Regions from separate parts of the Mus musculus genome. Here region 1 is reported to be linked to region 2. Evidence: microRNA targets listed by miRTarBase, many of them from high-throughput screens and not tested one by one. Region 2 holds a microRNA gene; the other region holds the end of a gene's coding sequence.

Region 1 (16,386 bases), not on the chromosome of region 2:
GGCAGCAGCTGCACACACCTGACAATATTCCTCATGAACATGACTTTAAATCTGCTTCTTAGCTAGGTGTGGTGGTCCACGCCTTTAACCCCAGCACTCAAAAGGTAGATTCTCTGAGTTCAAGGCCATCCTAGTCTACATAGCAAGTTCCAGATGAGCCAGAAGTACAGGGTGAGCCTCCGTCCTATGAAATAAGCTAAAAAAGTCATTAAATCAAAAACTAGAATTAAATTTGCTTCTGCACTAGCCACAATAGCTTGATGCTGACAGAGCTTGAATGGGTTCTTTGGGGAGAAGAAACTGGAGGAGAAACTGCTAAAGAAGAACTGAGAACCGGGCTGACAACAAAATCCTTTTTACTCAGCTGTAAAAAGAAATAAATAAGATTACCAACTATTTACCTTAAGACTATAGGGCACTCTGTCAAACAATGAATCCAGTCCCTAAATGTTGGATCTAAGGTAGCATTGGTGTCTATCTTAGTTAACTTTCTATTGCTACAAAGAGACACCATGACCAAGGCAACTTAATAATGATTAGCAGTTTGTTTACAGTTTCAGAGAATGAGTTTCTGACCATCATGGTGGAAACGAGGCAGCAGGCAGGCAGGCAGGCAGGCATGGTGCTAGAGCAATTACTGAGAGCCACACTAATACATAAGCAGGAAGCAGGAGAGAGGCTGGGCATGGCTGGCCTTTGGCAACCTCAAAGCCAACAACCTACATCCAACAAGGCCATACCTTCTCCTCCTTGCCTAACTGTTCTTCTAACGAGGGACCACACATGCAAATATTTGAGTGTATGGGGGACATTCTCCTCCAAACCTCAATGTCGTTTCTGAGGGTAACATGATTGTCCTAACTTTTCACCCATCAGTGTACGACAACATGAAGAAAGCTCTCAAGCTGCTAAAGACAGAATTGTAGAGCCAACTGCGCACCGGGTCAGGAGACCAGAAGGCAGAAGCACTGTGGACTTGCAGATTACAGTACAGTTTAATGTTACAACAGATATATTTTTTAAACACCCACAGGTGGGGAAACAATATTATTATCTACTACAGTGAAGCATGATTTTCTAGAAAATAAAGTCTTGTGAGAACTCCAGCTGAATAGTGTTGTTTCTATTGGTTTTTCATAGAAAAGCTCTTTGGACCAGCCTAGTATAGCAGCCCAGAGCTGCTATCCCTGTACAGGCAGGACCACTGCCCTGAACTGGAGGCAAGCTTGAACTACAAGAGTGAGATACTGTCTCAAAAAATGGAAGAAAAAAAATTTAATTAAAAAAGAAGGAAAAGGGGAAGAAAAGGCTATTTGGTTCTGGTTTGTTCACTAAACAGCAACAGTGGACACACACACATACACACACACACACTGCTCATGGAGGAACAAGACAAAGTTAATCCAAACTATAGAGACAGATGTCAAGATTGTTGCTGTCATGCTGACACACTGCAGGGTCTTTCTGATGCAGGCATGAGCTTACCCTGTAGTTGCGTTAATTAGATTATGCTTTAGTGTAAAAGGTTATACAGGAAGTGTCCTCTGCCTACACACACACACACACACACACACACACACACACACACACACATCTCACATGGAAACAGCCATTGCCACACTAGTTAGAAACTCCTAGGTATACAATTCGTTATTCCATTGTATGCAAATTTTGCCTCACTTAGTGATCTCAGAGAAAGCCTCTAGGCCCATCGGGTGGCTGTCCCCAGAAGACTCATCTGAAAGAGATGAAATCATTTACAACAGTCATGTAAAGATCACCTGCACCTCTCAGGACTTCTTAAGAGAAACCTGGAAGTGTCCTCATCCAGATACAAATTCCAGAAGCCAGAAACCAGGGTAGGAGTGGGCTCAGAGAGACTGCTTTATCTCCACGTGACTGAGAGGAAAGCAAAGGGCAGCCTGTGGGTGAGGTAGAGGCCAGAGGTCACTGCTGTTTGGAGCAGTGAGGAGGCACAGCTTCTGGCAGTGGGGCAGCTCTGCCTGCTTTACCTTGACTCTGCCTAACTGCACTAAATCCCACGTCATCATCAGGTGGACTTTCTACCACCCACCCCTACCGGCCCCCGATGGTCTTGGGTGGGTGCCTTCACTCAATAGTTCCTTTTCTGAACAAATGCTTTAACACTGTCGATCTTTCCCAGGATGCCCTTCTACCTCTCACGGGGATGACTCGGGCAAGTCCGAATGAGCCCATGTGGGTGACCTGGTGACATAAAGCCTAAGCTAAAATACCAGAAGGGCATCCGTTCGCCTCTCACAAGCAGGGAAATTACATGTGCTGAAAAAGAGAAAGCATTTCCTATAGGGAGAATCAGACAGGCAGGCAAGATGGCTCAGCAGGTAAGAGCACCTGCAGCTAAGTCTGAGGATCTAATTCAATCCCTACAATCCACATGGTGGAAGGAGAAAATCAACCTCTACAAGTTGTCCCCTGACTGCCACATGTGAGCCATGGCATGCATATACAGAGAGATAGGTATGCACACACACACACACACACACACACACACAAATGGTTGGGGCTCAGAGATTAAGGGCACTTACTGCTCTTGCAGAAGACCCAAGTTCAGTTCCCAGTACCCAGAAGGTGGCACCCAACAGTCTATTCCAAGGGATCTCACAATCTTTTGGTCTCCATGGGCACTGGGCATGCACGTAGTATACCTACATACAGGATACACCATGTGGATGTTATTACCCTATACATGCAGGCAAAACACTCATACAGATAAAGTAAATATAAATAAATCTCTGAAATTCTTTTAAAAGTAATGAGTATGGAAAAGCAGAAGAGATCAGATGAAAAGAGCAGAAGACTTTCTATCTTATATTTATAGCTACGGGACATAAGTGCGCACAATACCTAAAAGAGCTGGAGAGTCCAGTCTGAAAACACTTGTTCTACACTCACGGAAACATTAGTAAAACCCACTCTTTCTTCCAAATCCAACTCCTGACATTCATAATCTCCCATCTGCACTCAAATTTCAAGTAAAAATGTACCCATATTATTTCACTAATAGAATAATTCAGATCACTATAAGACTGGAGCCAAGTGTGAAGAATATTATGTCTAAAAGCTGAAGAAAATGTCCATAGCTATGGGATTGCAAAATGGTACGAAAAACAGGACAGTGGGCCTCAAAATACTAAGCACACATTAAGACTCCAACCTAGCGATCCACATCTGCATGTGCTCAAAAGAACTGAAGCAGGACACAGGTAGCTCTAAGCCCATGCTCACAGAGCTATTCACAACAGGTAAAGATGAAAGCAACCCAATTGTCCATCAGTGGACAAAGGGATAAACAAAGCGCAGCTCATATATCCAGTGAGGTACTGTTCCATGAATGATAAGGAAGAAAGAAACCCTGGCCTGCGTTACCATGGGACTGAAGCATGAAGACAAGATGTAAGCTAAGGAAAGCAGACTAGCCATAAAAAAAGACAGATACTCCCAAAATTCCACCTAGGTGCCTAGAGCCTCCTCATGGAGAGAGCAAATCTGGTCATTAAGGCCTGGGAAATGATCAAAGAAATGGGGAGGTCTTACTGTTCAATGGATGTAGTATCTCAAGTTTGCAAAGATAAAATGTTGTAGAAATGAACTGACAGTGTGGTGACTTCAATGACAGTGGCCCCAGAGCTTAGTATATTGGAATACTTGGTCTCTAGCTGAAGAAGCTGTTTAGGGTTAGGAGGCGTGTCCTTGTTGGAAGAGGTGTATCACTGGAGTGGGCTTCCAGGTTTCTGAAGACGATGCTAGGCCAAGTCTCTCTCGGGTCTCCAGCTCTTGGATGAGATGTGAGCTCTCACCTACTGCTTTACCCCTGCCTGCCTGGTACCCTGTACTCCACCATGATGCTCGGAACTCAGCCTTTGAAACTGAGTGAGTCCTAATGAAATGCTTTCTGTTGCATTACCTTCATCCTGGTGTCTCTTCACATCAATAAGAAAGTAACTAAGACAGATGTTGATACTGGGAAATATAAATGTATTTAATGTCATGAACTGTATGTTAATAGTGGTTTAAAAAAACCTTTGTAGTATATATTTGCTGAGAGAGAGAGAGAGAGAAGGAGAGAGAGAGAGAGAGAGAGAGAGAGAGAGAGAGAGAGAGAGAGAGAATTTGGTTTGGTTTGGTTTTTGAGAAAGTATTTTTCTGTGTAGTCCTGGCTGTCTGGAAACTTGCTTTGTAGACCAGGCTGGCCTCGAACTCAGAGCTTCACCTGCTTCTGCCTCCCAAGTGCTAGAATTAAAGGCATGCACTATCTCGCCTGGATGTCACATAAATGTTTTCCAGAGGGGCAAAAAGAAAGCTGGCTTTAGTCCCAGCACATGGGAATAAGCAAGCAGATCTTTGTGAATAGGAGGTCAGCCTTGTCTACTCAGTGAGTTCTGGGGACACGAGTGATACATGGGAAAACCTGGTTTCAAAAGAAAAAAAAAAAGTTGATATAGACCAGCCATAAGTCAACACTTTTAGGAACTGATCTTGCTCAAATGACCGTCTAAGACATATTTGATTTGGGTCTGTTTATTTTACCCTTGCTTTTGGTAATCTTATATAGCTACTGAGGTTTTGCCATTATCTCTGCTGAGAATGGCAGGCAGGGAGAACGAAAGCAAGTTCTGGTTCTAAGCAAGACCAGAACTCTCTCTGTTCAGTTTAAGAAGCTGTGATCAAGTGATCTTATAGAAGGCCCCTTGCCAAGTTATGACCTCACCTCTTTGAGGAAAAAAAAAATGAGACTCTGTATGTAAGCAAAAGCAATTTCACCCAACACACATGGCAAAGTCCATCCTGTGACACATATTTAAACTCCGGCAACTCCCTCAGGACTCATTTGAGAATAAAGATCATAGCTAGTTTTCCTAAGGAGAGTAGTGAGAAGTGGCTGGATATGGGAATTCCCACTTACCCTTTTGCAACTGTCTCAAAGAAATAGCTCAAGGGCTGCTGGGCCCAGATATAACAGGACATTCAAGAAAAACTGTAATGCAAGGCTGAAAATGTCAGGCAGCTCAAAACTGACTATAATCCAGCTCTGCGGAATCTATCACGCTCTTCTGACTTCTGTGGGCACGTTACTGACATACACATAACGCACAAACAAACACATACACATAATTAAAAATTAATTGTTAAAAGAAAAGAAAAGGCAACAGGACTAGCCCTGACCTTTCGCCATCTCTTCTTCTCAAACCCTGACTGCATAACACTCCTCACTAACCAGAAGCCTAGTAAAGTTGGTCTTTCATGTCCTTGTCATAGCCAATAAAGCAAAACCATCCCTACATGAGCAGTTGCGCCTATACAATTACAATGAGTTTTTTTCCTATAAACTACTCTGTAGAAATGAGTACTTTCTCAGCTAACTAATGAAACAGTTGTACATAGTCAATGTATTTATAAAGGGATGAATAAGTTCAGGCAGGGTTAAGCAAATATTTAGAAACATAGAAGAAGGGTTTGGCTCGAAGGAACCAAGAAGGAAATGCCTGGTTTCCTCTCGCTCTCTGGAAGATTCCATCTGGCAGTGTATTTTCCAGGTTGAGCACGCAGAACTGGTTTTCATAGCAAACACTCTGCTGTCCACAGAGCACAAAGTATCAGAGATGAACTTCACCCGCAGTGAGCTCAGATGTGAGAGATTACAGTCAAACCTTTCTCCTCTGCACTAGCTGTATTTTCCCAAGCTAAAATTTCACCTTTAATATCAAGGCTGACTGAGCAAATGTTCTAAGAACATTCCTCTAAATGGAACATGTAAACAAGGGATCAGAGAACTGCTTAAGCAGTGAGTTCCTTCTTGAAGGAGTTACAAGGTTTGGCTGGAAGGGACAGAGGGTTTGCTGTACAACCACTTGCTGTAGCTCGACATTCCCCACTCCTCTGCCCCAGGCATCACACATTGTGACAGAATTTTGACCACATGGACAGTACCCACCCTGCCATCAGGAGCCTTGCCAGACCTTTGTAGGCTCACAGCTGGGCCATACACGGAATGGAATGGACCTATTCAAAGGGCTTTGCAGTAGATGCTGAGACACCATGAAATGGCAGGTGTTTGTCTGCAATCAGAAACAAAAAGGGATCACAGCAGCATCCTAGGAGAGTCACCACCTAGGCAAAAAGAAAGCCAGATTCATTTGACAGGGAAGCCCCAGCTCTTGAAAATGTATGTCCTGACTGGCTAATCATTTATTATTTATTGTTCACTTATATAATCCTGCAATTTCATAGTCCTAATGATTCACCCTGGGGTGTGGGAGCACATGGGTAGGAGAATCACGTTAGGTCTGGATACAACACATCTTAGGTTAGTATACTACAAAGGCCAACAAAGATGGTGATGACCCACAGAATTATAAGGAATTCAAATGGTAACCCATGGATGTTAGAACTGAGAAAAATCTAAGGAAAGTGTCACTAAATTTGGAGTGCATTCCCTGTTTGTAAAATAAATGCTGACTTCTTAGGCTATTAAAAATAGAATAGTCCCCCCAAGACTGGAAGGATATGACAAGAGCAATATTAGAACCTGGGTCATAGTTACCAGTTCTCATGGTGGAGAGAAGAGGTGAAGGAGATAGCAGGACAAGATAAAGCCAGAGGTATCAATATATCTAGCGATCAGCTGCTTGGTGAACGTTGTTTTGCTGAGGCTGACTATGATGAAGAAACCTTGACATTATGTCACGTGGCAGCCTTCAATGCCCAGGACAAAGTCACAGAAACAGGGAAAGGACTTGAACCAATTTCTTAAGTCATGCAAGGTCCAAAAGAAACATTCCCTGACTTTTTGTAAAGGTTAACTTCCGTTGTAGAAAGCAGTATAACAGCTCCATCAGCAAGAAAGGCAATAATCGAGTCTTTAGCTTTTGAAAATGCAAATGTTGAATGCAGGCAAGGTCAGCACCAATAGATGAATGGATTAGATATACAATTGATATTAGACCTCGTTTATCTGATACGACCTTAACAGAAGAGGCAGACCACTGAAAGCAAATCTAAATAAAATACAGAAATGAAATGGAGGAACTGGTGGAAGCCAATGTTTTATAAGCAACTAGGTTCTTTGAACATGGGCTCCACAGGAATTCTGCGATTGCTTAGCCTGGCATATGGCAATGTAATGTCTTTGAATTGTTTTAATTACCAAAATGCAGAAAGTTATGTTTGCGAGTTATAGCATTACAAATCCTCTATAAGAGAGGTCAAAATAGAGCAAACTTAAAGAAAAAGGAAGCTGCTAAATTGAATCAATCTATATTTTTGATGACTTTGGGTTGCTGGACCAAGGGCATGCTATTTTGGGGAAGAGGCCCTGTATTTGTGTTAACAGGAAAGAAGAAAAGGCTTTGGACCCCTTCCAAAGTGATATGGATCACACATGATAGGGGAAGACCCCCTAAAGATCTTGGCTACAGACAGAAAAGAAAAATTCAAGAAGATCAAACAGGACAGGTAACATGATTTGCTGATTCCTCCACATGGGAACAGCCCTGTAACTGGCTTAGATATAAAAATGTCCCTAAGCTAAACCTTCAGCTAAAATTAACCAATAAATCTTGTTGGTTACAGAATCCTTAAGATCCATCATGCCATCCTTCACATGGGATGAGTGAAGATTTATTACAATTAGTTGTTGATCAAATTAGTTCATAAAAAAGACAGTTGTCTTTCACCTGCTCCAACAAGGGGCAAAAATTCATCCTTAACTGCTCTGTGCACCTTTCACAATCCATACAAGTAATAGTATTAAAAATCGGGTTGTAAGATTCATATTGCAGAATGAAACACCAAGATACATCTCTGATGCTGAAATGACCTGATGCTCAAGTTCCCTGCTCCAGATGCTGTTTCCAAAGACTTGCTTCCATAACAGCTTCGGGAACAGCTGTTGAGTCCCGATGACCTTGGTACATTCAGCCTCTCGGACAGTCAGAACCTCAGTCAAGTACAGAGACTGGATAACTGATGCTAAAGCTAGTTTTCTTAAGTCTAGCTGAGTTTTTTCCAATTTTCCTAACCCTCCCCACCCCTTAAAAATTACACACACACACACACACACACACACACACACACACACACACACACACACACACACACTTATATATTCCTGCCCTTATTCAGCAGGAAGAAGCCAAGGAGAGTCATCATTCCTATTATAGATAGGTTGTCATTTAAAAAAATAATTTGGAAATGGTCATAATTTTAGACAGGGAGGAAACTAAATCGAGAGCTTAGACTTGGGTTTTCTGTCTTTCCATTCCACTTCTCTGTCCATACTTAGGTAAAGGGAAAGAGGTTGAAAGAAAAAAGGAGAATAGAGTAACATTACAAGAAATTAGATATATGGGGATGGATTACTAAATTTATTCTTTTGAGGATTTTTCTTTTTATTGGACAAATTTTACCCTTAAACAAAGAACTGAATAGCCATAATTTTACACTGATATAAGTCTTTACATATTTGATTTAAAATTGAAGTTATATTTTCTTACCTTAGTACAGAATAATATTGGTACAGATTCAAGGTTTTCATTCATATAAATCTTTGTATATTGATACAAATTTTAAAATATTTTTGTGTTAGGCACTGTGTCTATGCAACTCATTTAAGATTATAAGACTTAGACCCAGTCCTTTTAATAACTGGTATTACAAATATTTAGGATGATTAAGATGCAAGTTAATAGTGAGACTTATGGTCATATTAGATTCTAGTTTAGTTAATTGCAACAAGTGGTTTCAAGATTTAATTAGTGAGTAGCTAAAAATAATCAATGTTTGACAATTCAGTTATGATATACATATATACGTATATATATATGGTCTTCAACCGTGTCAGAGATTCACAGCATAATGGCATTTACTGTCATGTCATTACTAAAGATCACTTGACTAGATATGCATGCTCCTGATACTATACCCATTCCACTTCAAGGAAGATATTAAGCATCATTACCTCTATGTGGAGTTGCTTCAATTGTGTCAAGGTAGCCACTGAGCAAGAATTGCCCCAATTCATCTGCAGACAAAAAATACTGTCCAAAATAGGCCAGAGGTGGAGTAGTCGACTGCTATCCTCTGCCAAGACAGAGTAAGCCAGTCCTCCATAATTCCTGTTTTACTTAAGGTCAAATGGTTATGGGTCAGAAGGATAAAGATAGATGCTCCAACATTATATAAAATTAATGGACTCCAGGCAGCCAGCTGTCTCTATAAGTTGTATAATTTTGGAAGCTATGTCTTTATGCTTCCTACATATATATTTAGGTAATATTTAATTCCTTCTCAGATCTCTGAATGAGTTGAAGACTGGTTATAGTCTCATAACTGAAATTAAGTTGTTTAGCATTAAAGAAGTTCCAGATATGAAGGGATGGATGTCAGATGGTAATACAAGTTAAAATCAACATAATTCAGGCATGGGATTATACACGTTTTAAGTTAGGATATATGATAGAGTGCTTTATCTAAATTGACAAATATGATGGACTGAATGTTAAGTATATAACTTATAATTTGCATAATTGTTATAGTTGCACTAAATTTATATCTGAGAAAAAAAGAGCCTTTTTTATTGGACAAAAAGGGGGAAATGTTGTGGGCTGCCCTGGTGCTGTTTGTATTCTGATGTTAATTCTCTTTCCTCAAGAGGGGTTGCCCCGAGTCAGGTGATCTCATGTGACCCTTCTCCCTGTTTTAACTGATCAATAAAGGCTAGAGCGTGTGATTGGGCAGTGGAGGAGAAAGGTGGGACAGGAGGTCTTAGAGAGGACAGCATGTGGAGAGGGAGGAGAATGAGAACACAAGGAGGACGGAAGAGGAGGAGGAGGAAGCCATGTTGGAGCAGAACCACTTGGTCAGGGGAAACTGCAAGGGGTCTTATAGCTGGAGAATAAGTTAGAGAATAGTGTTACATCTGCCCAATCTACAGCTTAGAATAACTGGATTGTGTGGTCTTTATATGGGCTTACTGCAATTGTAAATCCCAGCAATAGGTCTGAGGCTAGCCTGGGCCATAAAGAGGTCAAAATAAGTCTGGCATACATAGGAAGACCCTATCTCAAAAGACAGAAACCAAAACAAACAAAAATGCTCCCCGTGGACAGATCCTAATTTAAAAAACAAAACCAAAAACAAATCTAGTGTGTGTGTGTGTGTGTGTGTGTGAGAGAGAGAGAGAGAGAGAGAGAAAGAGAGAGAGGGAGAGAGAGACAGACAGACAGAGAGAGAGAGAGAGAGAGAGAGAGAGTGAGAGAGAATGCACAAGTGTGCAGGGGCCTGAGGGGTCCAGAGGTATCAGATCCCCCTGTAGGTACTGGAGTTTCAGACCATGGTGAGGCATTAAGGTAGGTGCTGGGAAAGGAACTCTGGACTCCCTCAACAGCAGGATGACTTGTTAATAGCTGAGACGTCTCCCCAGGCCCCTCAGACCCTGGTTTTTAACTGATTCCAATAAGGCCATTGCAATTAGAGCAAAAACCAAGTTATAGGCGAGTTCTCTGTGCAACCACCTTTCCATTTGCAATCATTTGTACCAAGAGTATGCTAGGATTCCTTAGAACCTCATCGGGTATTTTCATCTGCAGCTGAATAAACAGAAAAAATACAGGAAAGAAAACAAGCCTTCAACACTCTCCTTTCATGAGTCACTTCTCTCGTTTTACAGCATAAGCAGTTCTGCCCAGGTGGCCATGGTGCTCGGCATGACACCCTAGAAATAGCGCAGTTCTGCTTCTGGGTAAGACTCACTAGCAGCAGAGACACAGATGCCCCAAGGTGCATTCCTCTGTACCATTTACCAACAACCTCTTGGTATAAACTATCGATCACCAATAATGTTTCACATTCTACTCAGAACCACAACAGGAAATTAACTGTCACTAATGGAAAAGAATGTGTGTATACTCTCTCCATATAAATAGAAGTGGCTTCTTCAAATAAATAAAAACACCTTTTTCATTATGCAGATGATAACATTAGCCAATGAACTTGTTCAATAAAGCATTTGAGGGCCAGCAGATTATTCAGTAGCAACAGGACTTGCCATCCAACCTGACGGCCGGAGTTGGATCCCTGGGACCCATATTGTGGGGAGAACCAATTCTTACAAATTGTCTTCTGACTTACACACACACACACACACACAAATTGTTTCTTAATTTAAGAAAGGATTTGGGCTGGTGAGATGGCTCAGTGGGTAAGAGCACCCGACTGTTCTTCCGAAGGTCCAGAGTTCAAATCCCAGCAACCACATGGTGGCTCACAACCATCCGTAACAAGATCTGACTCCCTCTTCTGGTGTGTCTGAAGACAGCTACAGTGTAGTTACATATAATAATAAAATAAATCTTTAAAAAAAAAAAAAAAAGAAAGGATTTGGGAATAACTTCCAAAAGACATCATTACTGGGGGTGTATTTCTAAGGCTTGGTTAAACACCATCTTAAGGTATAATAAAAGGCTATGGAAAAGCAGAAGGAAAGATGCCTACTTGCCTTGTCAATGTTTCTAGTACCTTCTTTGATTTAAACACCCATATACAAAGGAAGGTTTTCAGCTTTTATTTTTTTAATGTAATATACAGAGCCACAAACACCATTTCTCTCTCAACTTATGGGAGGTAGTACATTCAAATATATTTAGATTTGACAACTTGCTGTCACAATACCAAGAAATGTCATTAAAAAGTTATTTTTTGACAGGCGATGGTGGCACGTGCCTTTAATCCCAGCAATTGGGAGGCAGAGGCAGGCGGATCCCTGTGAGTTCAAGGCCAGCCTGGTCCACAGAGCTAGTTCTAGGACAACCAAGGCTACACAAAGAAACCCTGTCTTGAAAAAAAAAGTTACTTTTTAAAGATAACCAAATATCTATTTGTTACATGGGCCTGGGCCAATGTATTGACGGCAAGTTGTTTACATATACAGTGTTTTGAACTTCGTATTTTTTTTTTTTACATCAGATTATGTAGATATATGCTCTATCTTCCTCAAATTCATCCCATTTTGAGAGCTGAAGATGTTACACACCAAAGCATTTCCCAAATGGTATCTTCCTTTGCCCTTGACTAAAAAGGTCAAAAACTAAATTTCATTTTCCTAAAGACACAGCTATTTCTAGAACACAGGGATGCAATCCTGACAGACTACTAGAACTAAATTATCACTTCTGTGCTAACACTTTTCACTACAATGTAGCTTTTCCAAAAGGCAAAAAGTATCAGGAACATAGATTTCTCCTAATGAACTGAACACAACAGAGTCTCTTCCTTTCTGGATTCATAAAACATCAACTGTCTTGGGTGGGAGCCCCAGTGCTCTGGGTAATTAGACAGTGAGATGAAGATCTGGGGTCAAATATCATCTACCCAGGGGTGCCATACACAGTTTACAGCAGGTAAAAATGCTAAGAAAGGCCACGGTGGACAGTGCCAGACACCAACAACAGTAGATTACAGGGACCACTGAGGGCCAGGGAATATGGGGAACTTCGATTGCTTTTTTAGCAATGGAAAGAAAAAAAAAATGTCTGGAGAAACTTAAGAGTAAAATTTTTAATTCCATCGTTGACATAATGTGGTTTTCAGATACTGCTTCCTTTGTCGTATGAACAAATTAGTTTAATTTGAGATTAGAGAAAGAAAACAAGATCAACAGAGGAAAGGTCTTCTTTGTCTTCTCGTCAAAGGAAAGCACTCGGGTTGGCGCGAGGGTCTTTCTGGTTCCGGTATCTGTAGGTCAGCCAAACACCCAGGATCTGGAATTAGAAGGACAAACGAGTTTTGAATCGATTTAGTCGATGAACAGAATAAATTAAACTTCTGAGTTCCTTTTGCTTGGTTTGTGTGCAAAGACAAGATTCAGGCAAATCAAAGGACAGGCACTACCAAATCTGAAGTTTGAACACTGTGTTAGACTGCATGCTCCTTCCCCATGCCTGGAAGCTGCAGCAAATGTTTCTGTACGAGGTGAAAGGCCTTTGAACGTGTGGTCATGTTAGGGAGAGGTTATCCAGGTGGGCTCAAAGGCGCAGTCCCTGTGGTGCTGATAAGGAGGAGGTGGGCTCAAAGGCGCAGTCCCTGTGGTGCTGATAAGGAGGAGGTGGGCTCAAAGGCGCAGTCCCTGTGGTGCTGATGAGGAGGAGACAACATGGACACAGGAGAGACACAGGGATAAGATGTGCTTACCAGGCACATTCCACACGGCAGCTTGACTTGTGAAGTTGGAAAAGCAAGCTCAACTTTTCCATTCTGATAAATAGCCAAATGTGAACTTTGCATGGTTTTTGCATTTGTCTCTATTGTTTTTAATTTTGTGTGTGCACATGTGTGTAGGAGTGCCCCCAAGAGGCATTGCAGCCTCTGTTACAGGTGTCTGTTAGAGGTGACTGTGAGCCACCTGACCTGGGTGCTGGGAACCAAGTTTGGGATATGAACATAAATCTTCCTCTCGGGGACAATGTCCTAAGCAGCAGGCACCACTAATCCCTGAGCCCTGTCAAATATTTTTAGTAACAAAACTATCTAGAGTTAGTTATTAAATCAAATGTTGGTCAATTTTTCTCAGATGACAGGATTTAATTTATTGTTGTGTTGTTTGTGTGTGTTTGTTTGAGAGGCTCTCACTATGTACACCAGGCTAGCCTGGAACTCAGAGCAAACCACCTGCCTGTGCTTCCAAAGTGCTACGATTAAAGACATGCATCAGCGACCGCAGCTTACCAAAATCTCTTGACCATTCCCATACTGTGCCTTATTTTATACCTAGAAATACATCCCAAGGGGAAAGTGGGGTGGAAGGGAATGACATTCCACACACAGGAGGCAACTGTGTAAATATTTATACATCAAAATAAATTATGTGATCTGCCTGACTCAGCAGGTGGAGGTCCTGGCTAGAACCTCATGACCAAAGCTCCTTGATGCATTCCCAGGACCCGCATGGTAAAAGGAGAAAACAGACTCCCAAAAGCTGTCCTCTGACCTCCGCACATGCACTCTGGCACAAGTGCACCCACACCAGGTAAATACACAAGTTTAACTTTTTAAAAGGTGGGGTGAAGTGGCTTGGAAGGTGAAGCCTGTGTTGCAAAGCCCAATGGCCTGAGTTCACCATTCAGAAACCATTTATAAGGGGGGATGGGAGAACAAATCCCAGAGGATGCCCTTGTGTTCTTGACACGCCCACTATGGCACATGCATGTTGCCCCCCAACACTCATTCAATGAAGAAAGGTAATTTTTAAAAAAGAAAATCAAATGGTCAACAGATTAAGTGATCCATTTATGGTTAAATTCTAACCATATAAAACAGAATTTTTGCAATTTTGTAAAGACGTATGTTGCTCTTGTAAGTAGCCTACTATGCCTCTATAGCTATACATGCAAATTCTACTAAAAGAATTATTTGACTCATACTCTTCTGTTATCTATTTAAAACAGAAGTGTGACATGGACATTTCATGTGTCAATAAGACCCACTGTCTTTTTTCCAATAGGGCATAATATGTCATATATTAATAAATTTATTAATGGCTACAAAACAATAACTAGCCCCCCATACACCAAGTACTGCTCAAAGCATTCCAGGTTTTACACCACTGGCTCCTTTAGTCATAACACCGGGAAGCGACTGCCTGTTGTTATTCTTCGAGGTTGAGATAGAAGATTTGAAGGAGCTATGTGAGGGCTAGCAAGATTACCTTGCTCCAGAGGCCACAATTAGGAAGCAGGTGCACTCAGTTTCCAACCCTGCTTCCTGTTCTGCTCCTATGTCAGACATCTTGACCCAACTAGCATATTGTCAAGAAGTAAAAGGTACCCAAATATTATAAAAAAAAATAATGCCCTGAAGGCTAGAGAGACTGCTCAGCAGTGAAGAGAGTACTTGGTATTCCTGCAGAGCACTGGAGTTTGCTTCCCACGTCTAGTGACTCACAACCATCTGCTCCTCCACAGCCATAAGTCCTGACGCCCCCTGCTGGCCTCCCCTGACATCTACACTCATGTGCACATACCTACTACACATAGACACATATTCATATATATAATTAAAAGTAAATCTTTATAAAAGTTGCTTATAAATAGCCTTGTGTGTCTATTTTATGTTGTTATACAATTATTTCCATAAAATAAAGTAATATGCATGGATTTTTTTTTTTAGTTAAAACAGAATTGTTGGCAGATCAGACCTTTAATACTAGCACCCAAGAGGCTAAGAAAAAGGGAATATAAGACCAGCAGGGGCTATATAATAAAACCCCAGCTCAAAACCAAAATTTTGTCTTGATACTTATTACCAATTCAGTATTGTAAATTTAGTACAGCATTCTGGTTTTGTTTAAAAATATATAAAATTTACTTGTTAGTAAAACATATTAACTTAATATAAACATATACAAATAATAACAGTAGTTACCTGTAGGTTTTAGAAAGGTAGTAATAAGAAAATGGGAGAAAATTTCACAGTGATTTTTCAATGTTGAAAGTAAAATAATTTTTACACTTCTTTTATTTTTACTTTTATTAATATTATATAATACATTCATTTCCTTCTTTTCTCTCTCCAAACCCTCCCATATTATCTCTTTTAAATTCATAGCATTTTCTTACATTAATTGTTACTGCATTGCAGGGCAGTGGTGGCGCACACCTTTGATCCCAGCACTCGGGAGGCAGAGGCAGGCAGATTTCTGAGTTTGAGGCCAGCCTGGTCTACAGAGTGAGTTCCAGGACAGCCAAGGCTATACAGAGAAAACCTGTCTCGAAAAACAAAAATCAAAACAAAACAAAAACCTCAAAAAATTGTTAATGCATATATATACATTTATATATATATATATATATATATATATATATATTCCTAAATATAACCTTCCTAATCCATATACTATTATTTCTGTGTATGTTTCAGGATTGCCCATTTGGAATTGGATAATCAATTAGTCCATGTGGGAAAGACCACCTCATCTCTCCTGCTCCCAATTTTCCTCAGCTACCAGCCTTTTTTCCCCAAGACAGAGCTTCTCTATGTAGCCCAGGCTATCCTCTCTAGACCAGGCTGGCCTCAACTCAAGAGATCCACCAGTCTCTGCCTCTTGAGTGCTGGGATTAAAGGCATGCACCACCAACATCCGGCAACAAAGGCAATTCTTAAAAGCAATATGTATAGTGTATATATTATATGTTAACGTATATTAACATTTTTAACACATTATATAATTAACATATATTAACACGTATTCCTTAATACAAAACTTAACTATAATTTATCGTGTAACTCTAGAAAGAAAAGTCCAGAGTTACTCCACACTAATCTGATTTCACTTATTATAATTTATACAGGTCC
Region 2 (16,386 bases):
TATTTTCAGGTCTATTGAATAAAGCAGGTAACACATTATGCAAAAAGAGTATAACTATAGAATCCAAATAGAAGTTTTCTAATGTACTCATACAGAAACTTATAAAAGATAAAATCCCTATGCTGATAGTTTCCCAAACAGGTATTATTTGAGGAGAGAGTAAAGCATAGTGGTAGGAAAGTAAATAGGCTCTGAAGTCAAAGCAACTCAGGTTCAAATCCCTGCTCCACCATTGCTAACTGTGTGACTTTATAATGGAATTCAACCTCTCTTATCACTTCTAAGGATATTATACCAAAAGTAGGAATAAAAGCAATATTAACATGTCACCAAACTACTGTGTTTAAATTTAAACACATGACTTAAAGCTGCTCAACAGAATGCATGGCACTCAATAGTAAATGTGAAGCAGTTCTTATTAAAATTATAGTCTACCATGATCCTGCAATTTCACAAAGCTAATCATGTATCAGTGAAGCACTAATATACTGTCAAAGATTATCCTTGACATAGTGTGATGTGATGTGTTCTAGGAGATACACAATTAAATGAAGATTCCTCTACAAACTAAAAGCCATCTAATTGCCAGTAACAAAAAAAGACAGCTACTTAAAAGATGCATATCGTAGGTTCTATCTATTTAATCAAATCATAACAGTCAACAGAATTGTGCAGGAAAGCCCAATTTTTACATAGATTGTCTAGAACTCTGATAGAACTAGTTTTCAAGAGAAAACTATATCCTAGCATCACGCATATGTTCATGGATTTATAAAAGAGTTGAAATCCAAAGATATGAAGAAACTATCCAAAAAATTTTCACACTGCCTCTAACAGTAAATCACAATGCATAAAATCAACAGAAGTTCAGTAATTTACACATATACAACAGGAAAGCCACAAGAGACATGTCTGTCATAAAAACTCAAAAAAAAAAGTCCTAGATTCTTTTTTTTTTCTGTACTAAAACAATTTACAATTGCAGATTATTGTCCAGTAGCAAGGGTCTGAAGCAGTCAGTTATATCACATGCATAGTTAAAAGCGGGGAGAAATTAATATAATGTATGCTCACTTGCTTGGGCTCAGCTCAATTTCTCTACTGGAAGAGTTCAGTACCCCTTTGTCTAGGGAATGTCGCCAATGGGATGAGTCATATCAATTAACAATTAAGGCAATCTCAAACAGACTCACAGGCCAATCCAAGGTAGACAATCCCTAAGAGTATCTTCACAGGTGATTCATTCAACCTTGTGTCAAGTTGGTAATTAAAACTAACCAGCAGAAGGAGGGAGGCAGAGAAGGAAAGAAGGAAAAGAGCACTGGCTCCTCTTCTGTAAGACCTGAATTCAATTCCCCACACCCACATAGTGGTTCACAACTACATGTAACTCCAGTTCCAGGAGACTGGCCTCCCTCTTCTGGCCTCCTTGGGCACCAGGCATCCAAGTAGTGCATGTGCATACACACACACACACACACAAACACATACATATGTGGGGAGGGGGCATACACAAAACAGTAATTTTTCTAAATTTAAACAAAAGTCTAGTGTGGTAGCAGGCACCTCTGACCCTAGCACTGAGGAGGCAGAGACAAGCATCTCCGAGTTCTAGGCCAGCTGAGGCTACATAAGAAGACCTTGTCTTAATAGATGACTGATAGATAGATAGATAGATAGATAGATAGATAGATAGATAGATAGATAGATAGATAGATAGAGATGATAGATAAAATTTCTGCAGCAGTGGCAGACATATTCATGCATTTTCGCCTCTAAAAACAAACAGCATGACACATTTTCTTAGTATGATGCCATCTATTGTGTTTTTCCTATATTACATCTAGTCTAACTGATAACATTAGGTATTCTGACTTTACTAGCAATCATACCAAAACTTAGGCCCAATAGCATACATTTTACAACAGCATATGTCTTGTGAATGAATGTATATGGCTTATGACTGAGAGAAGACCAATGACATCTTTCTGTTATACCATTCTTCCCCCCCCCCCCCCCCAGACAGAGTTTCTCTGTATAGCCCTGGCTGTCCTGGAACTCACTCTATAGACCAGGCTGGCCTCGAACTCAGAGATCCACCTGCCTCTGCCTCCCGAGTGCTGGGATTTACCATTCTTTTAAGAACAGTAAAGTAATATATCACCTACAGCCTAGCGATGAACTAGGAACCGTGTACAATTTTAAAAGAAAAGTCATGGGCTAGAGAGCTGGCTCAGTGGTTAAGAGCACTGACTGCTTTTCCAGAGGTCCTGAGTTCAATTCCCAGTAACCACATGGTGGCTTACAAACATTTGTAATGGAATCTGATGTGTCTGAAGAGAGCAAAAGTGTACTCACATATATAAAATAAGTAAATCTTAAAAAAAAAAGAAAAAGAAGTCATGAAAATGTGATTTACTACTATGTATCTGAATTATTAAATATGTTAATAAAGTATCCAAAGCTCTCTTCTAGCCTTTCCAGGCACCAGGCACTCATATGGTTGAATATACATACATCCAGGCAAAATATTCATACACATAAATCTTTTTTTAAAAGAAAGAGGAAAGAAAGCATCAAGGGACTCTAAGGGACTTCTAAGGTCACAGAACTAGTAAATAACTGTCCTCACTCAAACCAGATCTTCTACCAGAAGCCTATTTTGTTTCTAGCCATTTGTTCTTCTCAAGTCCTAGTCACTCTTCAAACCTTCCTCCACAAAAATCTTCTCCAATTATTCTTTTGGACTTCTCTTCACACAGAAGTTAACTGAAAGTAAGATCTATGTCTTACACTCCAGTTGTCTTACACCAAATTCAGCAGTATGTCAGATCCAGAGTTATACATATACTACATCTTGATGCTTTTTCTGTTGTTTTGTTTCTTTTTTTTTTTTTTTGGTTTTTCGAAACATGGTTTCTCTGTATAGCCCTGGCTGTCCTGGAGCTCACTTTGTACACCAGGCTGGCCTCGGAACTCAGAAATCCGCCTGCCTCTGCCTCCCGAGTGCTGGGACTAAAGGCGTGCGCCACCACGCCCGGCTGTTTCTATTTATGTATTGGGGTATTTTGCCTGCATGTATGTATGTGTACCATGTGTATGCCTGGTGCCTGTGACCAGAAGAAGGTGCCAGATCCCCTGGAATTAGAGTTATGGATGGTTGTGAGTCATCATTTGAGTTCTGGGAACAAACCCAGGCTCTCTATAAGAGCAGCAAATCAACCATGACTCCCTCCAGCCTGTTTTTTAGTTTTTGAGATAAGATACCAGGTAAGTCAGTCTGTTCTCATTACGTAGCCCCAACTGATCTCAAGCTAGCTTTGAAACTTCAATCCCTGTCTCAATTTTACAAGTGCTGGGACTACATGTGATGCTTTCTAAATAAAACCACTTTAGTGTTAAATATTAACTGAAGGCTGGGAAGGTAAGTTAGTCAGTAAAAGTGCCTGCCACACAAGCTTGAGGACCTAAATTCAACATTCACATAAAAAACAAGAGTGTTAGCACATTTCTATAATACACACAACTATGGAGGAGGAAAGGCAAATGAATACCTGAAGCTCACTGGCAGCCAGTTCAGCTGAAAAAATAAGTCCCAGATTCAGTGAGAAATAGTCTCTAAAAATAAGGAAAGTGATGAAGACACTTGACCTCCACATGTAAGTAGGTACGTACGTGTGTGTACACACACACACACACATTTTTTCAAGCCACATTAAAACCTAAAGAACCCTTCATTTTCTTTAATATTATCAAGTCAATGAATTGGTGGAGGAGTAACAGGAACCCCACAGGATGTAACTTTATGAAGAGATCAAAGCAAGTATCACTAAGCTCATTTTCTAACAAATTACATCCTACTTTTTCACTACCATTTGTTCTTCTCCTAGTCAGCATTATCAATATTGAACACAAAATTCCATTCCATTTCCAGAAAGCACTTAAATTTTGTTTTTCTACATCCTTATCTTTTGGTAACTTTTGCCACAAGCACAGTAACTATATTAATTACTTGCTTGCTAGTGTGATAAAATAGTGTGACAAAAGCAACTTATTGGAGAAAGGGTTTATTTGGGTTACAGTTCCAAAGGGGATACAGTCCATCACAGCAAGGAAGGCATGGCATCAAGAGTTTGAGTCCAGCCCATGGTATCAGCTGTCTAGAAGCTGAGAAAATGCAGAAAATGAGGACAGGCTTTATAAACTCTCAAGGCCTGCCCTTAATGACATATTTCCTTCATTAAAGTTCAACTCTCTACAGGTTCCATAACTTCCCAAATAGCACCACCAGCTGGGGACCCAAGTGTCCAAATACATGAGCCTATGGAGGGCCCTTCATATTCAAACAACAATAGTACCTCACTAATACATTGTATGTATTGGGCTCTCCTGCCTCCCTTCCACTAGAATGTTAAGGTCAGTAAGAGAAGGAATCATGCTCTTTAAGCCCTCATCTTTCTTACTCTCTAGCCCTCCTTCTCTCTTTCCTCTTTCCCTCCCCCCCCCCCCACACATGGCCATGACCAGTCTCTCTCTCTTTCTACCTTCTCTCCAATAAAGTTCTAAAACCATAAAGGAAAGAGAGAGAGAGAGAGAGAAGGAATCATGTCTATCTTATTCACCACTATATTCTAGTACCTAGAACAGAGAAACCCTGTCTAAAAAAAAACAAAGAAAATTGCATATTTCCATTTTGATTTGTATACAATTGCATATAATTTCAAAATTGTATAATTCCATTTCAATATTCCAGTAGAGGTAGAAGCAGCAGAGCCCAATAAATTTTATGAATTAGAGATGTTACTGTTGTGGTTTGAATGTGAAGTGCCCTATAATATAGTTCCTCATATTGTGGTGACCACAACAATAAAATTATCCCATTGCTACTTCATAACTATAACTTTACTACAGTTATAAATCCTAATGTAAATATCTGGTATCCAGGTTATATGATATGCAACCCCTGTGAAAAGGTCGTTTGACCTCAAAGGAGGTAGGACCTACAGCTGGAAAACCACTATACTAAAGGATTCCATTTATGTAACATTCTTAAAATGATGACATCACAAAAATGGACTTATAATTTCTTATGTAACAGCATGTGACACTTTATCTCAAAAATAAAACTTTTGTAAATTCTAAAGGTGATAATATATCCTCTGAAATCAAGTATTTCCCCCTTAAACGGGCTTATAAACTGGATTCTCAGCCTCTGATTCACATTGGTATTACCTATAAACTCTGTAAATGTTTAGATACCATAATATTAGACCAATTAAATAACAATCCCTCAAGAAAAGCAAAACTCAAGCATCTGTGGTTTTCCAATCTTCCAAGTAATTCCAGTGTTCAATCAAGAATGAGACTGAGTAGCCCCCAGAGCTAGAGAGTATAGAATACATTTTAAAAGCAAACTCTCAAACCCTGAGAATTGATGAGTTGGGCCCAGGGTTTAAGGTCAGCCTAGACAATATTGGTGAGGAGAGAGACCCTGGACCTTATCAACAGTTTCTAAAGATCTAGCTACTAATATTTTTGCTAAAATCTTAATTACAAATTTCATCTGTCTTCAAAAAACAAAAAGACTCGAAGATACCTCCATGGACATAAAAATGGAACTATTAATTTGACTTGTCAAAATCTTTCAAACAGAAAGGATATTATACCCCATTTGGTTAGCCTAAAATCAAAAGGACTTATTCCCATAAATTTAACACACAACCATTACAATAAAGTACATAAGGGGAAGTATTTCTTTTTTTGTTTGTTTTATTTATTTATGTATATGAGCACTCTATCTGCATGCACACCTGCATGCCAGAAGAGGGCATCAGATCCCATAATAGATGGTTGTGAGCCACCACCACATGGTTGATGGGAGTTGAACTCAGGGCCTCTGGAAGAGAGCAGCTAGTATTCTCTTAACCAATGAGCCATCTCACCAACCACTAAAATTGTATTTTTCATGAATATCAAGTGTGTATTTCAGGTATGGTGTTCTTTTCCATCTGTGTGGGGAGAAAGCAACAGTGACGGCAGCAGAACACAAACAGCTGGGCAGTGGTAGTGTAATGCCAGCTTGCCAGGCAGAGACAGATTGTCTCTGAGTTTGAGGCCAGCCTGGTCTACTGAGCCAGGACAGCCAAAATTGCACGCGCACGCGCACGTGCGCGCACACACACACACACACACACACACACACACCAACAACAACCTGCCTCGGGGGAAAAAGCCAGAAAGAAAGAGACAGAGACAGAGAGAGAGAAATTTAAAAATGAAGAACACTGAACAAACCCAAACAAACCACATACCACAACTTAATTCAACACATCCAGGAAGCAGTGGGTACGTAATGAGATCTCAGGGATTCTACAAGGATTTTACCAACACAGGATTTAACACAGACACATCTTTTTTACTTTAATTGTGCCTGTGACTTTACTGAAAGCATTTTTGATTTTTAGGTTTGTTGGGAATGGGGGATGGGAGGACCTAATCATGCTACATAAATTATTGCCTTAGAGGAGATTGTCAAGCCAGGAAATTTTATTTAAATAAATAATATAATGTAACAAATATCTGACAGTTAGATGTCACTTAAAATATTAAAGTAATAAGGTCATTTTTAAATGTGTACTCTTTTTACAAGTTCAGAACAACCACAAATTATGGGGCTACAAACCACCAGTTTTTCTAAGGAAAATTGTAGCCTATAAAATACTGGCTGACTGCCAGTACAAATGAGTTTTTTCCTCAAGCTTTGTAAGCCACAATAGTCTTTCAAATGTGACTATAACCATATTATTCAATCAAGAGGCAAAGCTACTAGATGGGACTGCTTGGCCTAAAAAAACATTTGTATAAGCCTACAAACTGCTCCTTATAAATACTCTATGCTGTCACTTTTGAAAAGAGATCTCAGTTTTGTTTGTTTGTTTGTTTACAGACAGGGTTTCTCTGTGTAGCCCTGGCTGTCCTGGAACTCACTCTGTAGACCAGGCTGGCCTCGAACTCAAAAATCCACCTGCCTCTGCTTCCCAAGCGCTGGGATTAAAGGCGGGAGCCACCACTGCCCGGCTCTCAAATTTTTTTAACATTACCATTTTACCATAATTTTCTTAGGTAATGAATTAAGCACCTTTTAACTTTTTTGAAACCAGTGTTAGGAGCCAATAAGATGGCTCAGTGGATGTACATACAAGCAGACATGACAACTTAAGCTCAGTCACTGAGACCAGCATAGTGGAAGGAGAGAACCAACTACCAAAAGTTGTTCTCTGGCTTCCACAAGAGCATTTATACACAAGTAGAGATGTAGAGATGGATGGACAGATATTGTAAAGCATCCAGCCTTGGAATTAAGTTAATTGGTATGTTTAAAATTAACATGTTCCCACACACAGCTATCCCTCAAAAACAGCAAAACTTCCATTACAATCCAAAAAATATTTCCTTCAATTTATTCTCTAAGTAAAAAAATAGTAAAAAGGCAATCGTGAAAATAGAACAGAATAGATATAATTCCCAGTTCTACTTCTGTTGTTCTCTCTCAGAAGTAACTTGAACAGCTAGCCATTGCACACCTCAGTGTTATTTATTAAAACAGAAATATTTTTGTTACTTAATGGTGAGGTTTATGCCATAGATATGCAATATACATGAAGTAGATTAGCACAGTACCTCAACATACCCAAAATATTAAGAAGCCTACATGTTTTTGTATAAATAGTGTATCAGAGATACTACTGATCTGAAAAAGAACTGTAACAGCCCCTGAGTGTGTTCTAATGCTAGGATACAGTATAAGTTTCCTCCATCCTTCTGAGCAGCTCTTTAAACAGGAAAAGTAAACAACTCAAAATAGCCTCAGGAAGTCCCTGAAACTGACCAGATTCACTAGGCCCCTCCCTGCCAGATTAAGCAATAAAAACTTTAAAGTCACTCTTAAACAAGAAGCTGTGGTGCAAAGCAGACTCTGAGAAGCTAAGCTGCAAAGACTCTTGAGACCAGACCAGCTGCCTAAAAGTCGCAGAAACCAGCTGAGCTGCTTAGACAAGGTTTAGACAAGAGTTACTTGGAAAGGACACTATGAAACCTATTGAGTAATCTACAGGCTGTGCAATGTGCTCCAGGTTCCCAGCTTTTGCAAAATGTCACCTGTGCTGGGGTGGGCTTTGATGATGCAGCTGACTCTGAGTCAATTCTGCTCCTGTAAGTAACTCCAATAAAGCCCATTTGTTCACCAAGCTGGACTTTGATAATATCCATACTTTGATCTGTTTTGTACATGTAAATAAATAATATTAAAAAAAAAAAAAAAAAACTAACGCCTGGGCTCAGCTGTTAAGATCACTGACCATTCTTACAGAGGACCTAAGTTCAGTTCCCAATATCAACATGTCGGTTCACAACCACCTATATATAACTCCAGTTCCTGGGGATCCTATGCCCTCTTTGTGGCCTCTGAGGACTTATGCATGTACATGATAGTCATGAACTCCTGAAGGCTAACATTCATATTTTTTTTTAAATAAATCTTAAAAGCCTACCATCTCTCAAATACTAGATAGTATTAAATTATCTAAAATTGTCTGAGAAACTGTCTTTTCTAGCTACCTATCTGTGTAAGGTAAATTGTTCATCTTCACATACTTCAAACAAAACAGACTAAACACAGAAGTAGATCTTCTATTAAGCTATACTAAATTAAAACGTAAAAATCAACTGCTACTTTTCTCACCCAATTTTCCTGAGTTTTGTTGTTTGTTTGTTTTTTGTAGTCGCCACAGCTACTGCTGCCACCCACCATCAATTGCACTTTTTTTTTTTTTTAAGATTTATTTATTTATTATATGTAAGTACACTGTAGCTATCTTCAGACACTCCAGAAGAGGGAGTCAGATCTCATTACGGATGGTTGTGAGCCACCATGTGGTTGCTGGGATTTGAACTCTGGACCTTCAGAAGAGCAGTCGGGTGCTCTTAACCACTAAGCCATCTCGCCAGCCCCAATTGCACTTTTTAAATTAGTAAAACAGGAGCTAGAAAGACCTCAGTAATTAAGAATGTTTACTGTAACTATGAGGACCAAAATTTGGATCCCAGCACTCACATTAGGATGCTCACAACTGTCTTAACTCCAGTTCTCAGGGAGTTCTCCAACAGCCTCCATAGTCATATAAGGCCATGCATGCACTCTTAAAAGCACACAAATTTTTTTAATTATTCATTTAATAAAATGAAAATAATTTCCAGTATATACTTTCTAGATATCAATAAATAATAACACATAAACAAAAGATCTTTAAGATCCTCAATTTTTTAAGAGTATAAAAGGGTCCAAAAAAAAGCTTGAATCCACACGTGGAAGTACATGAGAGGCAGTCAGATCTCTGAGTTCAAGACCAGTTGGGTCTACATAGCAAGTTCCAGGACAGTTATATAGTAACTCTGTCTCCAAAAATATAAATAAATAAAAATAATTCAAAATAAATTAAAATTTAAAATATAAAAATACACAAACAAAATGACTATGACAGCCAGGTGATAATGATGCACACCTTTAATCCCAGCTCTTTGGAGAAAGAGGCAGGCAGATCTCTGTGGGTTTGAGGCCGTCCTGGTCTATAGAGCTAGTTCTAGGACAGCAAAGGCTATACAAAGAAACCCTGTCCCGAGAAAAAAAAAAAAAAAAACTAAGAGGAAGGAAGGAAGATAGGTAGGTAGGTAGGTAGGTAGGTAGACAGACAGGTATGTTGACACCATACAATTTGGGAGCAGGTGATAAAAATGTCTGACCATTTTGCAGTGAGCAGTGTCCTCCTCCAATCAACCAACAACTCAAATTTTCAGTGAAGGACTTTGACATAAAAGCATTGTCATCGATCCTATTTCATAAAGATAACAATCACTTAGCCATATGACCTGTTCTAAGTAATCAAAAAAAAAAAAAAAAAAAAGACCAGACAGCACTTACTGTGCTCTGATCAAATGCCTGCCTGGCACAGTGCTATATTTACATTATCTCTTCATTCTCAGGACCCCACAAAGTAGCACAGAACAGGAAACAGACACAGATTTATTTGCCAAAGGCCACAGGGAATAAGCAGTGGAATCTGGACTTAAAATCAAGTCTGTGTGACTCCAGAGTCCAGGGCTCTCTACTTTTACCAGTTACCTTCATTGTACTGAAATCAATACAGATTCGAGAAATCAAACCTTCACTTAACTTTCTATGTCCTTGACCAACCCACTACTTCTCTGAAACAGCTTTCTCATCAACAAGATAAGGGGGTTAGCCAAGGGCTGGAGAGATGGCTCAGGGGTTAAGAGCACTGCTCTTCCAGAGGTCCTGAGGTCAAATCTCCGGCAACCACATGGTGGCTCACAATCATCTGTAATGGGATCTGTTGCCCTCTTCTGGTGTGTCTGAAGACAGCTACAGTGAACTCATAAAATAAAGTCTTTAAAAAAAACAAAAAGGGGGGGGTGGGGGGTGGGGGGGTAGCCTGGTTGATCTCCAAAGTCTCCTCCACAGCTAATATTCTTAGATTGATTTCCCATAACCTCAACCCCACAATTTTAAAAAGGCCTTTGGTATGTTTTGCTGAACTAGAAAAAAAAATATATATATATACACATACATATATATATATATAATATTAATGAGAAAATTAATAGGCCAGAATATAGCTTTCCATGGTTTATCATTAATCACTATCATAAAATAGATTACCATGAAGTATATACTTTTCATTCATTCCAAACAACCAAACTTTCCTTCTTTTACATTAGATTGGGTATCCTTGAAGCTGGAGAAATGGTTCAGCTGTTAAGATCACTAGCTGTTCTTTCAGACAACCAGGGTTCAATTCCCAACATCCATATGGGAGCTAACAACTATATGTAACTCCAATTCCAGAGGTCTTGATACCCTCTTGAGGCCTCCATACACACATACATGGTATACATAAATATATTCAGAAACATAAACTGAAATAAATTACTTCAAAAAAGGAGTGGTAGCGAGGGGGGCTGGGCATCCTGATCACTGAGACATCTCTAAGGGTGGTAAACAACATTACCATGATACAGTTATCACTGAATTATATATAGGGTTTGGTCTAAGGGGCAAATGCCTCCTCATCAGCTTGTTTAACACCAATTATCCTTTGAAGTAAATGTACAATTATCAGTGCAGACATGGAGACATTTGCTAAATATTTTTGAGAAAAGAAGGGTAAGCTGCAGGAAACTGAATTTGGCACAATGACACATCCACAACAAAGAGAGGGAAAAGAAAAGAGAGAGAAAGGGTAAAGACACTGTATAAGTGAAGTTTTACTAGTTTATGCAATGTTGATTTTGTCTAAACTACCAAAATTGAGGCTTTCTGTCTCTAAAAGCTACAGATCTCTCCATTTGAGGCCAGTCTGTCTGCACAGAGTTCTATGACAGCCAAGGCTACACAGAGAAACCCTGGGGGGGAAGGTGAAAGCTGGGCATAGCAACTAACATCTGTAATCACAGAACTACAGAAGATGAGGCAGGAGGATCACCACAATTCTGAGAATAATCTTGACCCTGCCTCAAAAATCCAATTTACAATTTGGCATGGTGGATCACACCTTTAATCCCAACACTCAGGAGACAGAAGCAGAGTTCACAAGGATGGATCTCATAACAACCCTAACTCCAATTCCAGGAAATTATAACCTCTGAAGGCACCAGATGTGCACAAGGTGCATATATACATATATCTGCAGGCAAATACACACATAAAATTAATAAAATCTTAAGGAAAAGAAAACCTATCCAAAGGATCCAGGAAGCTCTTATATCCTTTTTCACCCCAAACCCTGTATACTGAAGCATATTACACAACTGCCTATTCTGTGGGGTGACTTACCAAGGAGCTTCAGAAGAATAGGTGAAAACAAACCTACTAAAAGTTCTTTTAAAGGCTGAAGAAATGGCTCAGTGGTTACGAGCACTAACCGCTCTATAAAGAACTAGAATTTGGTTCCTAGAAGCCACCTCAGACAGCTTACAACCAGGGGATTCAACACAATTATTATACACACACATAATTTTTTTCTTTTTAAGTTCTTGCCAGACATGGTGGTGCAAGTCTTGACTCTCAGTATTCAGGAGGTAGAGGCAAAAGGATCTCTGAGTTAAAGGCCAATTTGGTCTACAAAAGTGAGTTCCAGGCCAGGAAGGACTACATAAAAGAGGGACGGAAGGAAGGGGAGAGGGAGGGAGGGAGGAAGGGAGGGAGGGAGGGAGGAGGAATTGGGGGAAGGAGGGAGAGAGAAGTTCTTTCAAATTTTAAAAATAAGAGAATTCTTAAAACACATACAAAACAAGGCTAGAAATGTTATTTTGAAAGTCTTCAAAACACAGTATGAGGGCATGTCTAGTTTAATCCATGTGAGAGTGTGTGTGTATGTATACACAAGTAACTGCAGGCAGTTGTGAGCCATCTAGCACAGGGGCTGAAACTGAACTCAGGTCCTCTGAAAAAAACAGCAAGCACTCGTAACTGTTAATTCTTTCTCCAGCCCAAAGACTGTTTTTAAAAAATAGTTGTTCCGATTCTTCATAGGAACTATAACTCTTCGAGGGATTAAGGAGGCTCATTTGGTAAAAGCACCTACCTTCCAAATGCAAGGATCTTAGTTCCATCCCTAGAACTCAGAGGAGAAAAAAAAAAAAAAATGCTAGGCTAGGCATAGTGGCACTTGCTTGTCATCTGAGCACTACAGAGAAATAGGCAGATGGATCCCTAAGGTTAATAACTGGCCAACTAGTCCTGCCTAATTGATGAGCTCTGGACCAATAAGAAATCATCTTAGAGGAAGTGGATAAATCTCTTGATTCTATCTGAGGCTGTCTGTCTTCTAGCCTACCCACATGTAAATAAATATCTTAAATCTGGAAACAAGTTCCAATACTGGTAAGTCTACTCTAAGCACTCTGTATATAAACTTATTTAAGTTTGTAACTTAAATAACAGTCACTAGACATAAATGGGGCAGGGTGGATAATGTCTGCAAACAAACCTCAGACACTACACTACAAATTTCTTATTCCTATATTAATGACTAATAAGAGTTCTGACAGCTGCTTCCTATATTGTTTTCCCTCCTGGTCTGAGGAGCTCTTAAGGCAAACACACCATCTTCTAAGGCACTACTTAATCCCCCATACAGGATGACTCCTCCATTTTTTTGTTTTTGCCATCTCACTCCCAGGTTTAGTAAAGAGACTCAACTTTTTGAGGCAAATTCATATAGATTTTAATTCTGAAATTAATCAATCAGGAGTTATTGAAGCTTTAGTTTTCTCCTCTGGGAAACAGTAATCATTCTGAAAAAGTAAAGACTGAGAAACGCACAATGCATATCTGCTATCAGTATTAATATGACTGACTCTTCTATAAAGTTTTACAAGTATAATACATCCACTATTAAATAGCAAATGAAAGATTTTCTTTATTCCTTAAAAGTATCAGACAGCAGTAAAGCACCAAAAGTGGATAATCTCTAATACAAAACTTCCAACAGTCACCTTTACTTTGCAAAATTTGTTTGTTTACTTGCTTGGTTTTATTTCATGTTTGAAATAGTACTTTACTCTGTAGCCCTGGCTGGCCTGAGCATGCTATACAGACCAAATTAACCTTGAACTCAGAGATCCACCTGCCTCTGCCTCAGATGATCTGGGGTTTACAAGCATGTGCCATCACACCCTGCTTTTTCTTTTCTTTTCCTTTTTTTTTTTTTTTTAATAATTCTAATGGTTTAAACTGCTTAATTTTTTTTTACCTTAAAATAACAGACGTGTTTTCAAACTACATAACAAAGTTTGCTTGGCCATGTGAATGTACTAAGTATGTGTTCATTTTAAATGACTTTTCAGGAAAAATATTTATTGCTTTTCAACATTATCAATGCTAGTGATATGTCATGAAGATTTTCTGATCCAAATGTCTTTATTTCTAACTTTTTTTTCTTTTTTAAAACAAAGAAAATAGATTTAATAAGGAAAACCTCTCCTGAAAGTATGAGAGGTTTCAAGAAAAGAACACTCCTGGGTTACTCCTTTGTATTTGTAAATCAGAAGCTTGAGCGAGGTTAAGCCTGGAGCATGCTTAACTGAAAGTCAAGAATCTATTGCATATGTGAGGCACACCTGTAATCCTACCTAGCACTTGGGAAAAAAAGGTCTCCAGAGTAGAAGAAGTACTACCCACATAGTAGAAGCAAAGAATAGATTACTCTGTTCTCTGGCCTCCATATGCACACCATGCTTAAGGGCACCCATACAAACACACACATACATAAAAAAGTGTAACCTGGCCGGGAGTGGTGATACATGCCTTTAATCCCAGCACTCAGGAGGCAGAGGCAGGTGGATTTCTGAGTTCGAGGCCAGCGTGGTCTACAAAGTGAGTTCTAGGACAGCCAGGGCTATACAGAGAAACCCTGTCTCGAAAACAAAACAAAACAAAACAAAAAAAAAAAGTGTAACTTTTAGTTTAAAAGGAATATATATAGCCTATCACAAAAAAAGTGTAACTTTTAGTTTAAAAGGAATATATATAGCCTATCATTCAAACTTTTTAATTCAAATAAGCAGTAACTTCATATTGACAAAGTAGTCAAGGATTCTCATCATCTGACTTCAAATAAGACAGACACTACTTAGATACCTATAGCCAGTGAAGCAGCAGTAAAGGAGAGTTCAGAGTTATATCCAGCCACTGAAAATATATGAACTGTTTTTACACTATGGAGCAAGTTTGGAACAGATTTAGTGAAATAAGTTGAACCACTGACCACTCAGGTAACTTAGCAGAAATCTTCAAAATCAATTAGCTAGATTTATAGTCTATCAAAGATTGGGCAAAAGTTGGAAATTTGGTCTGAAAAAAATTCACTTTAAGAAGTCAATAAAGTGGGGCTGGTGAGATGGCTCAACAGGTAAGAAGAGCACCCGACTGCTCTTCCAAAGGTCCTGAGTTCAAATCCCAGCAACCACATGATGGCTCACAATCATCTGTAACGAGAACTTACGTATAATAAATATATAAATCTTAAAAAAAAAAAGTCAATAAAGCACGTAAGCAAGCAGTGGGTGGGACATTCTCTTTAGTCCCAGCACTCAGAAGAAGGCAGGTAGATCTCTGTGAGTTCCAGTTCCAGGACAGTCAGGACTACACAGAGAAACCCTGTCTTTGGGGGGGAGGGAAGGCATGTAAGTGGGAAATATCACATTGGCAGTGGGCTATAAGAAGCCCAAAGTTCCAAGCTAAAGAAAAGTTGGGCACTTAAAATCATGAGATCAGGGGATTGGGGGGGTGGGTATGGTGGACTTTTGGGATAGCATTGAAAATGTAAACGAGGAAAATACCTAATAAAAAAAATTTTTTTAAAAAATCATGAGATCAGAGACTAAAGAAATGGCTCAATAGCTAAGAGCATTCATTGGCTGTTCTTCCAGAGGATGCTGGTTCAATTTCAAAGCCTCTTCTAACCTCCATAGGCAAGGCATCCACCATGCCAAATGCTGCTACTAGGTAAAATAAAAATTAAACTTGGGGGCTGGAGAGACAGCTCAGTAGCTAAAAGTGCTTGCTACTCTTCCAGAGGCCCCGAGTTTGCTTCTCAGACCTTAACTTATATTGTACCTAATTCTTCCTTTAAAAGCAAACATTATAGCCAGATGGTGGTAGCACTCATCTTTCAATCCCAGCACTTGTGGCAAAGACAGGCAAATCTCAACTTTAAGGACAGCCTAGTTTAGTCTACATAGTGAGCTCTAGGACAGTCAGCTACATAATGAAACCCTGTCTTGAAAAAAAAAAAACAATAAAATAAAAGCATTGTATGTTTCATAACATAAATTTTTTTATTTTTAGATTTTATTTTTATATGTCTTGGTATTTTTCCTACTTCCACATGTGTGCCCAGTGCCCAGTGCCCTCAGAGTTCACAAAACAGCTTACTGGATTCCCCAGGAACTGGCCATTTTCAGATGGTAACCATCATGTAGGTGCTGGGAACCAAGCCTGGATCTTCTCTCTACAGAACAACTATTCTTAAAAGTTGAACTTTCTCTCCCATCACAACAAGTATCTTCTTTAATCTCCACTCTAACTGTAAACTAGAGGATGTTTTCCAATTTTTAATATGAAATCTATAACAAATATAGCTGATTTTTATATAATTCTGTTTATCAAAAAGCTAGCAGATAAAACACCATTTAAAGCCTTCATTATTAATACATGTGGTATCTACTCATCCATGCTAACCTTGACCTCACAGTTCACAAAAACTAGAGATACACACACTGATGGCTTACACTGTTTATTCTCCCTAG

Evidence for each region. The annotated mature microRNA mmu-miR-5128 reads CAAUUGGGGCUGGCGAGAUGGCU and lies in region 2 at 8,993-9,015, opposite strand. An mRNA with a match to its seed (bases 2 to 7 or 8) in the 3' UTR can be bound and repressed. Matches are read on the target gene's strand: a 7mer-m8 pairs with bases 2 to 8, a 7mer-A1 pairs with bases 2 to 7 and ends in A, and an 8mer does both.
Region 1: the mRNA of Tspan13 is a reported target of mmu-miR-5128. Seed matches in the 3' UTR shown: 7mer-m8 at 11,774-11,780.

The regions. Positions count from the first base shown.
Region 1 is chr12:36,002,976-36,019,361 of GRCm38, forward strand. It overlaps Tspan13 (tetraspanin 13), which reads right to left. Exons shown (of 6, transcript NM_025359.3): 6 at 11,580-12,797. The coding sequence ends at 12,723. Agr2 (anterior gradient 2) reads left to right here. Exons shown (of 8, transcript NM_011783.2): 8 at 877-1,106. The coding sequence ends at 926. Among named protein-coding and RNA genes, the nearest start is that of Agr2, 18 kb to the left of the region's middle.
Region 2 is chr2:37,679,220-37,695,605 of GRCm38, forward strand. It overlaps Mir5128 (microRNA 5128), which reads right to left and starts at 9,065; the gene lies at 8,982-9,065. The region is part of intron 1 of Strbp (spermatid perinuclear RNA binding protein); the gene reads right to left.